Linked DNA regions of Coturnix japonica. The protein of the gene in region 2 interacts with the protein of the main gene of each other region in a biochemical or structural test. Links are inferred from orthologs where the notes say so. Each region holds a gene or a part of one and is shown on either strand. Other genes may lie near its edges.

Region 1 (5,328 bases), on a different chromosome or scaffold from region 2:
AATGACTTATTAATTTCTTCCCATAGCAAGCAGCCGGTTTATTTATAAATGGCCCAATCCAACAGGGTCCCTCTGCGTATCCCATGGGATACACTGACAGAAAACCAGACCTGTCCCAGGCACTGGGGAAGTGGGGTGATGGTTACACAATTCCCATTGCTGCTGGCTGCTCCAGTTACAGAGATAAAGGGTCAGAGAAGTGGAGCAGTGGAGACAGATAACTGCGCATCACAGGGCGAGCAGCTGAGCTCGCAGTGCGGGCACTGCCAAACCTAAGACAGATGCTGGAATGCCATGGGAGAAGAATTCCTTAAGTAACACGGGAATGGAACGGCAATGCCCAAAGTCCCCTTAGGGAACACTTAGGTAGTGACAGGACAAGGGCGAATGGCTTTAAATGAACATCACGGAACCACTGAGGTCAGAAATGACCACCAAGCCCCTTGTCCCGTGCTACAAAGATGGAGGCATACGTGGAATGAGGGAGCTGCAGTCAAATATGGAACCTGAAGATCTGATCATGTCTCTTTGCCAGAGTTTCCTAATCCCTCTTACCAGAAACATCCCTCGCTTCACAATCACACCTTATTCATGTCATCAAAATGGATGATATGGGAATATTAAATATTAAAATGTTTTATTATTTACAGATTAATAATATTGTGTATTTTAGGAGGGCTGCTCTGAAGGTCGTGCCTCCTATTTTATAACGGCCCACAGTGTCAGAGGTGGATGCTGGTGATGGGGCAGTAGTGGTTGAGCCTTCCCACCAGTATTCAGTTCTGTGTTGTTGCCATGGGACAGATGGCAGCAGAGGGGCTGAATGGAATCGGACATGGAAGTGCGTGTGAAGCAGAGGTGTGTCACTGAGCAACTCCATGCAGAAAAAACGGCACCCACTGATGTACAATGACACTCAATGAGCGTTTCTGCAGATGGGACTGATCACTGATGGGACTGATCACTAATGGGACGTCACTGATGGGACACATCACTGATGGGACTCATCACTGATGGGACGTCACTGATGGGACGCAGCCTTCCAGGAGAGGAAACACGGAGCAGAAGTGCTGATGGCTCCGTGCGTGCTTTGCCTATAAGGGGAACAAAATACAACAGCGCGTTCCGAGCTGCAGTGAATCGCTCCGAAAAAATCTGCAGGCGTTCTTCGAATTGTTTGGTAAAGGAAAAAAAATATATATATATATATATAAAGGCAAAGAAAGGAAAATGCAGCCCCTGGGATATCCCTTTATGGCAGATGCATTTTGTGTTTAAACGCATTAATGGCTCTGCTATGCCGTGACTCACACAGCAGCACGGTTTCACGCGTTTCTTAAAATACACGTTGAGCGCTGACGGCGGCGCCGGGCGCTGCCTGCGGGAGCGGCACGGGGAAACCTCAGCGCCGAGCGCCTGGGAACGGGCACCGATGTGAACTGAAGAGCCGGCCGTGCGCTAACACTGCGGCTCCCCGCTCCTTGTTCGCTTTGCTGCCCGTTTCTCTCTTGCTTTCCGGCTCCCCGCCCTACAGCTGCCCCTCGCCGGCTGCCGGGGACGCGGTTTCACGGGGGCTGATCGCCCCGAGGAGCCTCGTGGCGACGGAGCCGGGCTCCGCTTTTCGCTTTCGCTCGTGGGAGCAGCGCGGGGCCGCCGGAACTCCGCAACCGGGGTCGGGGTCGGGGTCGTCCCGGAGCGACGGGCGCGGCCGGGAGCATCGCACGGTGCAGCTCGGGGGCACGGCGGGGCGGGCGGACAGCGGGGCGGAGCGGAGCGGGGCCGGGCCGAGCTCCCTCCTCCCACTTCCCCGTGCGTCAGGGCCGGGAGGAGGAGGAGAAAACTGCTTTTTTTTTTTTTTAAAGCCTCCAACTACTTTAGCGCGGAGTCGGCAGCAGATGGTGGACACGGCCCGGGGCTGCGGCGGGGACAGCGAGGGGATGCGCCAGCCGCGCTCCGCCCGCCCTTAGCCCCCGGCCCCGCTTCTTCTTCTCCTTCACCTCGCCCTCCACCATCACCTCTTCCTCCTCTTCTTCCTCTCCCCGCTCCGCTCCGCGCCCCCCATGAGCCGCCCCGCTCCGCCGCCGCCCCGCCGCGCCGCCGCGCTCCTCCTGCCGGCAGCCCGCTGCCGCAGCGCCCCGGCCAAGCGGCTCCAGCCGCTGCACGACGGCCCCGCCGAGGAGGCTCCGGCCGCCAAGTGCCCGCGCCTGGCCGAGTGTCCCGGCGGAACCCCGGACTGCCTGAGCGCCCCCGGCTCGCCCTGCGCGCCCGTCTCGCCCGCAGCCGGCGGAGGAGCGGCGGGGAATGTGGGCACGGCGGGGCCCAGCCTCATCGCCTCGTACCTGCTGCTGCCGCTGGCCGAGCGCGAGCAGGTGTCCCGAGCGCTCAGCGTCAGCTCCGGCCGGGAGCTCCGCTGCAAGGTGAGCGCCGGGCGGTGCGGGCTCGGAGGGGGCTGAGAGGGGACGAAAGGCTTCGGGGCGGTTCGTGCTTTCCGTCGGTTTGGCTTGTGCTCCCCGTCGTCCGTGCGGAACGAACGGCGGAGCCGCGGGGAGGCTCCCGGTGCCGCTCCCGAGCGCGCTGGCGCTCCTCCATTCCCGGCATTGTTTGCAAAGAGTCTCTAGACGCGATTCCGCTCCCAACGCCCTCGAGAACGAACGTTGTGCTCGTTTCCTTTGTGCAGGTGTTCCCTCTCAAACACTACCAGGACAAGATCCGGCCCTACGTCCAGCTGCCCTCGCACTGCAACATCACCGGCGTGGTGGAGGTGATCCTCGGGGACACCAAGGCCTACGTGTTCTTTGAGAAGGACTTTGGGGACATGCACTCCTACGTGCGGAGCTGTAAGAGGCTGAGGGAGGAGGAGGCCGCCCGGCTCTTCCGACAGATCGTGGCGGCCGTCGCTCACTGCCACCAGTCGGCCATCGTGCTCGGAGACCTCAAGCTCAGGAAGTTTGTCTTCTCCAACGAGGAGAGGTGAGCGGCTGTCACCGGGCAGGTGGGGGGAAGCCTGGTTCAGAAGGGCAAAGAGCATCCCAGGAACAGGGTGGACCTGTGCCCCGTGTGTGCAGTGGGGCGCCTGCTGGCTGTGGTTGGGTCTTGGCTGAGGAGCTCTCCATCAGCCTCCCCTCTTCCAGCAGAAGTTCAGTGAGGCAGTCACAGGGAGTCAGTTGGGTCTTGGTGATGATGGATGAGTTTTGGGGTCAAATGGATGAAGGGATGGGATGTGGAGGGAATGAGGGCAGCACGGTGCTGCTCAGCATCTCCGCGTTGGTGGCAGTGCTTCTGCTGCTCCATGGATATGGGCATGCACGGCACAGAGGGCGGTCCATGGTTAAATGTCCTGCAGAGGGGAAAACTGGTAGAACTTAACCTAAAGCCTGAGTTATGGCAAGGTGGTTCCAGCTTCCCCCATCTGCTGGCACGCTGCTGGGATCAGCTTCTAAATCTAGACCGAGGCGAAGCATTCAGTGTCTCCCTGGAGAGCTGGCTGCTCTGTGCACTGCGCTGCACGTGGCAGGGCTGGGAGTGCGGTGTCAGCCCCGGGAACTGACCCTGAGTGGCTGCTGTGCTGTAGGAAGCTCAAAACATGGGCACAGGCTGCAATGGGGTCGTGCTTAATGCGACGAAACGGAAGGAACCGCTGTGTTTGGTTTTCTTTTTTAACTGCTTCTGTGGGATATCGTTTGTGAAGGTGATAAGACGACGAACCAGAACTGCACCTCTTAAACAGAAACAGCCGTATGTTGACATGCAAAGAAAGTAATTCCTTTGAAGGAAACTATTGCAGCTTTTCCCGCCCCTAGTGAGATGAAACATTTGTTGAAATGTTACATTGCACACAGCCCGGCTCGTTTGGAAATTGGCGTTGCACAGGCGAGTGTCATGTGCATTGCGTTTGGCAAGAAGAGGGTTAAGCAATGGCAGGCGGGCGCTGGGGCTCACCAGCACAGGTGCAGTTTCAGTGCTCCCGCGGCCAATCCTGGGCCCACGGTTCGCATTGAGTCACATTTTCCGTTTACAGAACCGATGGGTATTTTGCATTGCAGCGGGAGGTCACGCCGAGGACAGGCTGCAGTTAGCACATCCCTGTGGCACGTGAGCCGTGGCTGCTGGTGGGAAGCTCCCGGTTTGCCACTACCGGGAGCAGGGCACCACCTGGAAAGGCAAAAGGGAGAAAATAGGGATTGAGCAAGCTGGTGAGCGCCGAGAGTGCAGAACAGCCAGGCTTTGTGTTGTGAAAATGAATGCTGGGATGGCAGCAGGAGCCTCGCTGGCGTTCCTCGAGAGCCCAGCATTTGCTGTCGGCCCAGCAAATGAGCGTGCATGTAGCTGCACTTGGGGCTGGGATCAGCATCCCTGGTGCAGATTAGGAAGTTGTCGCCTCTCCTTTGCTAATGCATGGAAGGGAGCGGTGGTCGCTGTGCAGAGCAGTTGGTCTTGCTGCCACATGTCTCTAACCCATGGCTTCTCCTTGTTGCTCCCCACAGGACGCAGCTGAGGCTGGAGAGCCTGGAGGACACGCACATCATCAAGGGCGAGGACGACGCGCTGTCGGATAAACACGGCTGTCCTGCCTACGTCAGCCCCGAGATCCTCAACACAACGGGGACGTACTCGGGGAAGTCAGCCGACGTGTGGAGTTTGGGAGTGATGCTGTACACGCTGCTCGTGGGCCGCTATCCCTTCCATGACTCGGACCCTAGCACCCTGTTTTCCAAAATCCGCCGCGGACAGTTCTGTATTCCTGACCACGTCTCCCCCAAAGCCCGATGCCTCATCCGCAGCCTCCTGCGGCGGGAGCCCTCCGAGAGACTTACAGCCCCGGAGATCCTGCTCCATCCCTGGTTCGAGGCGGTCCTGGAGCCAGGATATACAGACCAGGAGACAGGGACTTCTGATCAGATTGTTCCAGAATACCATGGAGACAATGACGATATCAGTTCCTTCTTCTGCTAACCCTGATATCTCAAGAACCTCGCCATTCTCACCTCTGGCATCTCCGTAGGGTTTGGTTATTTTATTTTTCCACATTACAGACTCAAAGCATCTTAAAGTGCCAGTATGGTCAGAAAAGTGACCTTGTTTCAGATGAACGTCGACCTGCAGATCTCTGCTGTGAGCACACACAGAGGCTCGATGCTCGCCCTGCCGGCAGCATGGTCCTGCTGCCTGGAGGAGCTACATGGTTCTGCTCCTGCCTCCCGAGCCCTATGCCCTTCCTTGCTGTGTTTTGGCTGCAGAGTCTTATTGCTGGCAATGGGAGAGACGCAGAGCCTGCCCTCGGCATCCCCCTTTGCCCCAGGTTGTATGGACGGTGATGTGCAGTGGGTG
Region 2 (5,539 bases):
ATCTGCTGTGCGATGGAAGAATAGCACCCTCAAGAGTTGACGGCCGTGCTGCTCCAGGGCTCCACAGCACTGGGCAGGAACCCTTCCTCCTTTTGTTAAAGAACACACTGGCACATGCAGCCGAGGCAAAGAGACACAAACATTTCTTTTGCCATCACATGTGAAATGTTTGGCACCGGTCAGTGTGGGTGTGGAACTCTGTGCCTGTCCGAGGGATGGCAGCTGCTGAGCGTGGCATTTGCCTTCAGAGAAGAGGCATTCAGAAAAGAATTGTCCTATTTATTTAAGTCTGGGAAACTCGCTTTATACCATCTTAAAAGAATTTGAACAGGAATTCATGTTTTTGTGCAAAAAGAGATTATTTAAAAGTACTTCACTGAGATAAAAGGGGTCTATGTAAAAAATACCGAGCGAACCAGTCCTTAAATTGCGGGGACTTGTTTGTTAATTACAGTAATTAGGAATGGAATCTGATCCTAAACTTTCTGATTTGCTTTGAATTTCTCTTAATGTGTGGTTAGACCTTAATTTTCAGAACGATTCTAAAATGTGAGACTGCAGAGGCCTCAGTATTGTTGTTCAGTGACAAACTGAGTTCTGTGCTCCCGCTGCTGCCCGCAGTGCAGAACCTTTTGCTGTCGCTGTGCATGGCCGGTTCCTGCCCACTGCCTTTAGGGCACGATGTGGCTGTAGGAAGCACGGGCACGGCCAGCACTGGCTCTTGGGCCAGCTGGGTCCTACGGTGTTAGCGAGTCTGGGTCAGCATCTGCCCCTCTTCTGCAAATGGGTTTAATGGAGCAGAGCCTGCAGGATCCACACAGCCAGACGTGGCAGAGGTTGTGGGGCTTCTTTGGAGATATTCAAGACCCATATGGACGCCTACCTATGTGACCTGTATGGAACCTGTGTAGTTGGTTGTATGGGTTGGGCTCTGTGATCTCTTCAGGACCTTCCTGACCCCTGCAGTTCTGTGATGCTGTGATTTCTGCTCACATTGAAGCATCCCAGATTTCTGTCACAGGTCAGGGGATTTTATTCTCTATCAGAACTTTGGAGCTCTTCCATATGGGCACTTTGCTTGATCAGGCAGTGCATACCCTTTGTACCCACTGTTATGTGCTGAAACCAAAGTATATCATAATTTCAGAAGATACCATATATAAAAAGCAGTTAGGATTTATCTTTTCTGTTGACATTGAAAGGTGAAAAGTATGTTCATAAATCATAGATTCTGTGTGTTCTGTATTCTATATGGATGTTTCCCACGAGACACTCACAGCAGGCTGTGCTGGCTGCACCTCACGTCTGTGGCTCACGTGTGTGACCCCAAAGGTGGCTCTTGGTTCGTGGTGGTTTTGTTCCTAAGGCTTTGCCAGTCACTGTGAATTGCAAGGAACTCTGAGCAAGCAGTCTGATATCACAAGCTTCTGGTTCATTCAGCCCTCCAGGACTAAGAAATGTGGCAATTCTTTCTGTAGCCATAGCCATACTGGAGTTTTCTCTGCCGATCTCCCTCGCTCTCCCCTGCTTCACTGCCCTCGGTGCGTCCCTCCTTCCACTGTGCTGCTTTCCGAGCGGCCCGGCCCAGCGGATCTAAGGGCCGGCAGTTGGGGTCGGCAGGTCCGGCTGGACGGGGAGGCGGCAGCTCCGTGCCCCGAATCCGTCCCGTGCAGGGAGCGCGGGTCCCTCGGGCCGCGTGTCTCCCAGCAGCTGCTCGGGCCGGACTCGGAGCTGAGCCCCGGCGTTTCGCCTTCCGAGCGGCACGCTCGGGTTTATCTCGGGTAAACGCCGGGAGCCGGTCCACGCCCGACACAGCCCGAGATTGCGGTGTTTGCATTTGGGGAAATCCGTGATTAAATTTACCTGCCCGATTCGCGCCGCGGGACGGGACGGGACGGAGATGCAGCCCCGTGCGTTCATCCCCCACCGCCCGCGCACGGTGGGAGCCGTGGGACAGCGGCAGCGCGTCCCGGCCCGGCTCTGCCCACGGCCCCGTCCCGCAGCGCCGAGCCCCGCAGCCCCGCCCCGCAGGGCGCGCTCCCGGTCGGGTCCCAGCGCCGCTCGGGGCCGCGCTCCGCGGGTCCCCACGGGGCTCAGCTGGTGAACCCAGCGCGTCGAACCGGGCCGAGCTCCGGTAACTCCGCTGGGACGGCGCCTTGGGCCCCGGGGGCGGGCACCGTGCGCCATCCAGCCCGGCGTAATGGTTCGCGCGTAATGGTGAGCTGCGGGGCTGCTCCCCGGTGGAACGGGATCGGGCGCTGCGGGCTCCGAGCCCCCAGAGCGGGGGGGCGGGCGGAGCACAGGGACCGGGCAGGGCTCGGTGAGAGCGGAGCTCCCGAGGGAGGGCGGACGGCCGGGCCGGGGCGCTAAGACCCGGGGCGCGGTGGTCAGAGGTTCCCAGCAGGACACTAGAGGGCGATCCCCGGCCCTGCTGCGGGGGTGTATATATACGGCACGCAGGACCGAGGCAACCCACTAGGAACGGGACAGGCAGGCAGGCGGCGAGCGGGGCTCGGGCGGGCTGGGGCGGGGGACGGGCTCCGGGCGCGCCGAGCGGAGCCGCTTCGAGCCGAGCCGGGGGAGCGCGGGGTGCTGCGGGCTTGGCAGAGCCGCCGCCGCCCCGTCCGAACCCTGGATTGCCGGAGCCCTTCACCATGCCCGGCAGGCTGTAGGTGCTTCATGGAGCAAGCCAACTTCTACGAGGTCGATTCCCGGCCCCCGATGAGCAGCGGCCAGCACCACCAGCTCCAGACTCCCCTGCCCGGCAGCGCCTACGGCTACAGAGAGGCTCCCTCGGCGGCGGCACCTGCTGCGGGCGGCGCGGAGCTCGGCGACATCTGCGAGAACGAGCACTCCATCGACATCAGCGCCTACATCGACCCCGCCGCCTTCAACGACGAGTTCCTGGCCGACCTCTTCCAGCACAGCAAGCAGCAGGAGAAGCACAAGGCCGTCCTGGCCGGGGATTTCGATTTCCACAGCATGCACGGGGCCGGCGCGGCCGCCTCGGCTCCGGGGCACCACCCGCAGCACCAGCAGCAGCCGCTGTTCGGCTGCGCGGCCGGCTACATGGACGGCAAGCTCGACCCGCTGTACGAGCGCATCGCCGCGCCGGGTCTGCGGCCGCTGGTCATCAAGCAGGAGCCCCGCGAGGAGGAGGAGGTGAAGGCGGCGGCCCTGGCGGCCCTCTACCCGCACCCGCAGCAGCACCCGTCCCACCTGCAGTACCAGATCGCCCACTGCGCTCAGACCACCGTGCACCTGCAGCCCGGGCACCCCACGCCGCCCCCCACGCCCGTGCCCAGCCCGCACCACCCGCACCATCCGCACCCCCCGGGCGCGTTGCCCGCCGCCCCCGGCGCCCTCAAGATGATGCCCGCCGACCACCGCGGCAAATCCAAAAAGACAGTGGACAAGAACAGCAACGAGTACCGAGTGCGCCGGGAGCGCAACAACATCGCGGTGCGCAAGAGCCGGGACAAGGCCAAGCAGCGCAACCTGGAGACGCAGCAGAAGGTGCTGGAGCTCACCACCGACAACGAGCGGCTGCGGAAGCGGGTGGAGCAGCTCAGCCGGGAGCTGGAGACTCTGCGGGGCATCTTCAGGCAGCTGCCCGAGAGCTCGCTGGTGAAGGCCATGGGCAGCTGCGCTTAGCCGGGCCCTCCCGCTGCTCCGGGCGGTCCGAGCGGTGCCGGAGCGGGCTCAGATTGTGGGGGGTGGGCTAGTTTGTTTTCCCTTTTTTTTTTTTTTTTTTGTTTCTTTTTTTTTTCTCCCCGACAATAATGACCAATAAAAGAAGCCAGGCAGCTGTAGTATTACCAGGTCGGTGCCTTAGGGTTGACACACGAATAAGCTGAAAAACGTGGTGGGTTTTGTAAGGAGAAAGGAGAGGGGAAGGAAGAGATTAAACAAAAAAGCCCACGTGTCTACACAGGGTAAATGACAATAATAATAGTAACAGTAATAAAGCACATAGAGCAGCCCAGATGTGCCTTAAAGCTGCCTGCAGGAGGTCCGTGCCCTCAGCCCGCCGAGGAAGGAGCGCGGGGACGTGCGGGCTGCGGGGCCGGAACGGGGACGGCGGCGGATGCGGAACGGCAGCGGAACCGGGACCGTCAGCGGGACGGGACGAGCCGAGCGACGGACATCGGGACCCACGGCCAGCCGGGTTCGCGGACAGCCCGTCCCGGCAGCCGGACAGTAGGGCCGAGGGCGGCCCGGCGGAGCTCCCTGCGCCGACGGGGAGAGCGGCGGCGATTCGTACTGTATGTCACGACATGGCGAAGCACAAGTGAATAAATACCTATCGATGCGGGTATTTACTACGAACTCTCAGCGTATTTTGCTTTCTCCCAGGACATTCAGCTCCTCTCCGCGTCTGTGTCTGCCCAAGCTGTGCCTCATGTAATGTGAAAGCCTTTCCGTGTATACTAGCTACACTATTTTTATCGCGTTACTTAGATCTTTGCCATCACACCACTTTCTTATCTGGTGACAGAGACTATGCCCTCGTGCTGCAACGTTATTTTATTATTTGTGTGGGTGGGTGGGTGAGTGCGAGCTGCGCTGCTGCGGGCGGCCGCGGCCCCGTCCGGCCGGGGGCAGCGGGAGGGCAGCGCGGGTGCGTGCGGGGCGCGTGTGCGGCGTGCGTGTGCGGTGGGAACGTGGACGTATATGCACACATCGGTGTTCTGTTTTTGTTTTTTATAATTCGGGAGGGGACCGCATATACAGTTTTGTCGGATAGTCCTGGTTACATTCATAATAAACAGCATATACTCTGCCATCACCGCCCGCTGCGTGTTCCAGTGCTCGTCCCGGGGCCGGCCGGCTCTGAGCCCCTTTCGGCACCGCGGCCCGGGCCGCCGATCGCTCCCGTTTGCCCCGTTCGTGCGACGCCTTCGGGAGGCGGCGGTGTGTCTGTGTCTGTGTCTGTGTCTGTGTCTGTGTCTGTGTCTGTGTCTGTGTCTGTGTCTGTGCCGCGTGCAGGTGCGATCCCGCCGGGCGCTGCGGGGCCGGGGCGGAGGGAGCGACCGGGTGGGACGCGACGGCGTCGGGACACGCGGAGACGCCGCGCGGCCGCTCGCGGTGCCGGACCCCGCCCCTCCCCCGGGGAGTTTCGCCCCGGCCGGGCACACGGACGCCGCTCCGGGGCTCGACGCGGCACGACCCTCCCCCCTCTCCTTCCCCCCCGGGGTAACGGCTACCACGAGGCACCGGGCAGCTCGACCGCCGGCCCGAAAGGACGACCCCGCCCCGCCTCGGCGCGCCCGGGGTCGGGTTCGGGGCCGCAGCACGAGGGGAGGCGGCTCGAGCGGCAGCTGCGATAGGGCAACAGGGCCCCGCCCGGCGGAGGGAGCGCGGCCGGGTCGGGCCAAGGGGCCGCGCCGCCCGCACCAGGAACGGGGGGAACCCGGGGCGGAAGGACGGCTCCGAGGTGAAGCGACGGCCGGCGGGGTCGTGCAAGGAGCCATCCCACCGCCCAGCGCTTATCGGCGCCGCACGTGGGCGGGGCGGAGCAGCGCTCCGCGGGGACGCG

What was found. The genes of interacting proteins can lie anywhere in the genome.
Region 1: the proteins of CEBPA (region 2) and TRIB1 form a complex in vitro, tested with the Homo sapiens proteins (2 studies listed by BioGRID and IntAct, with this or other methods). The link is inferred for Coturnix japonica from reciprocal best matches to the Homo sapiens genes CEBPA and TRIB1.

What each region holds. Positions count from the first base shown.
Region 1 is NC_029517.1:125,153,447-125,158,774, forward strand, and holds the start of TRIB1 (tribbles homolog 1), read left to right. Parts: upstream 1-1,749; 5' UTR 1,750-2,060; coding exon 2,061-2,417; intron 2,418-2,677; coding exon 2,678-2,970; intron 2,971-4,484; coding exon 4,485-4,953; 3' UTR 4,954-5,328. UniProt on the Homo sapiens protein: Adapter protein involved in protein degradation by interacting with COP1 ubiquitin ligase. The COP1-binding motif is masked by autoinhibitory interactions with the protein kinase domain.
Region 2 is NC_029526.1:8,911,203-8,916,741, reverse strand, and holds CEBPA (CCAAT/enhancer-binding protein alpha), read left to right. Parts: upstream 1-2,261; 5' UTR 2,262-2,679; coding exon 2,680-3,654; 3' UTR 3,655-4,789; downstream 4,790-5,539. UniProt on the Homo sapiens protein: Transcription factor that coordinates proliferation arrest and the differentiation of myeloid progenitors, adipocytes, hepatocytes, and cells of the lung and the placenta.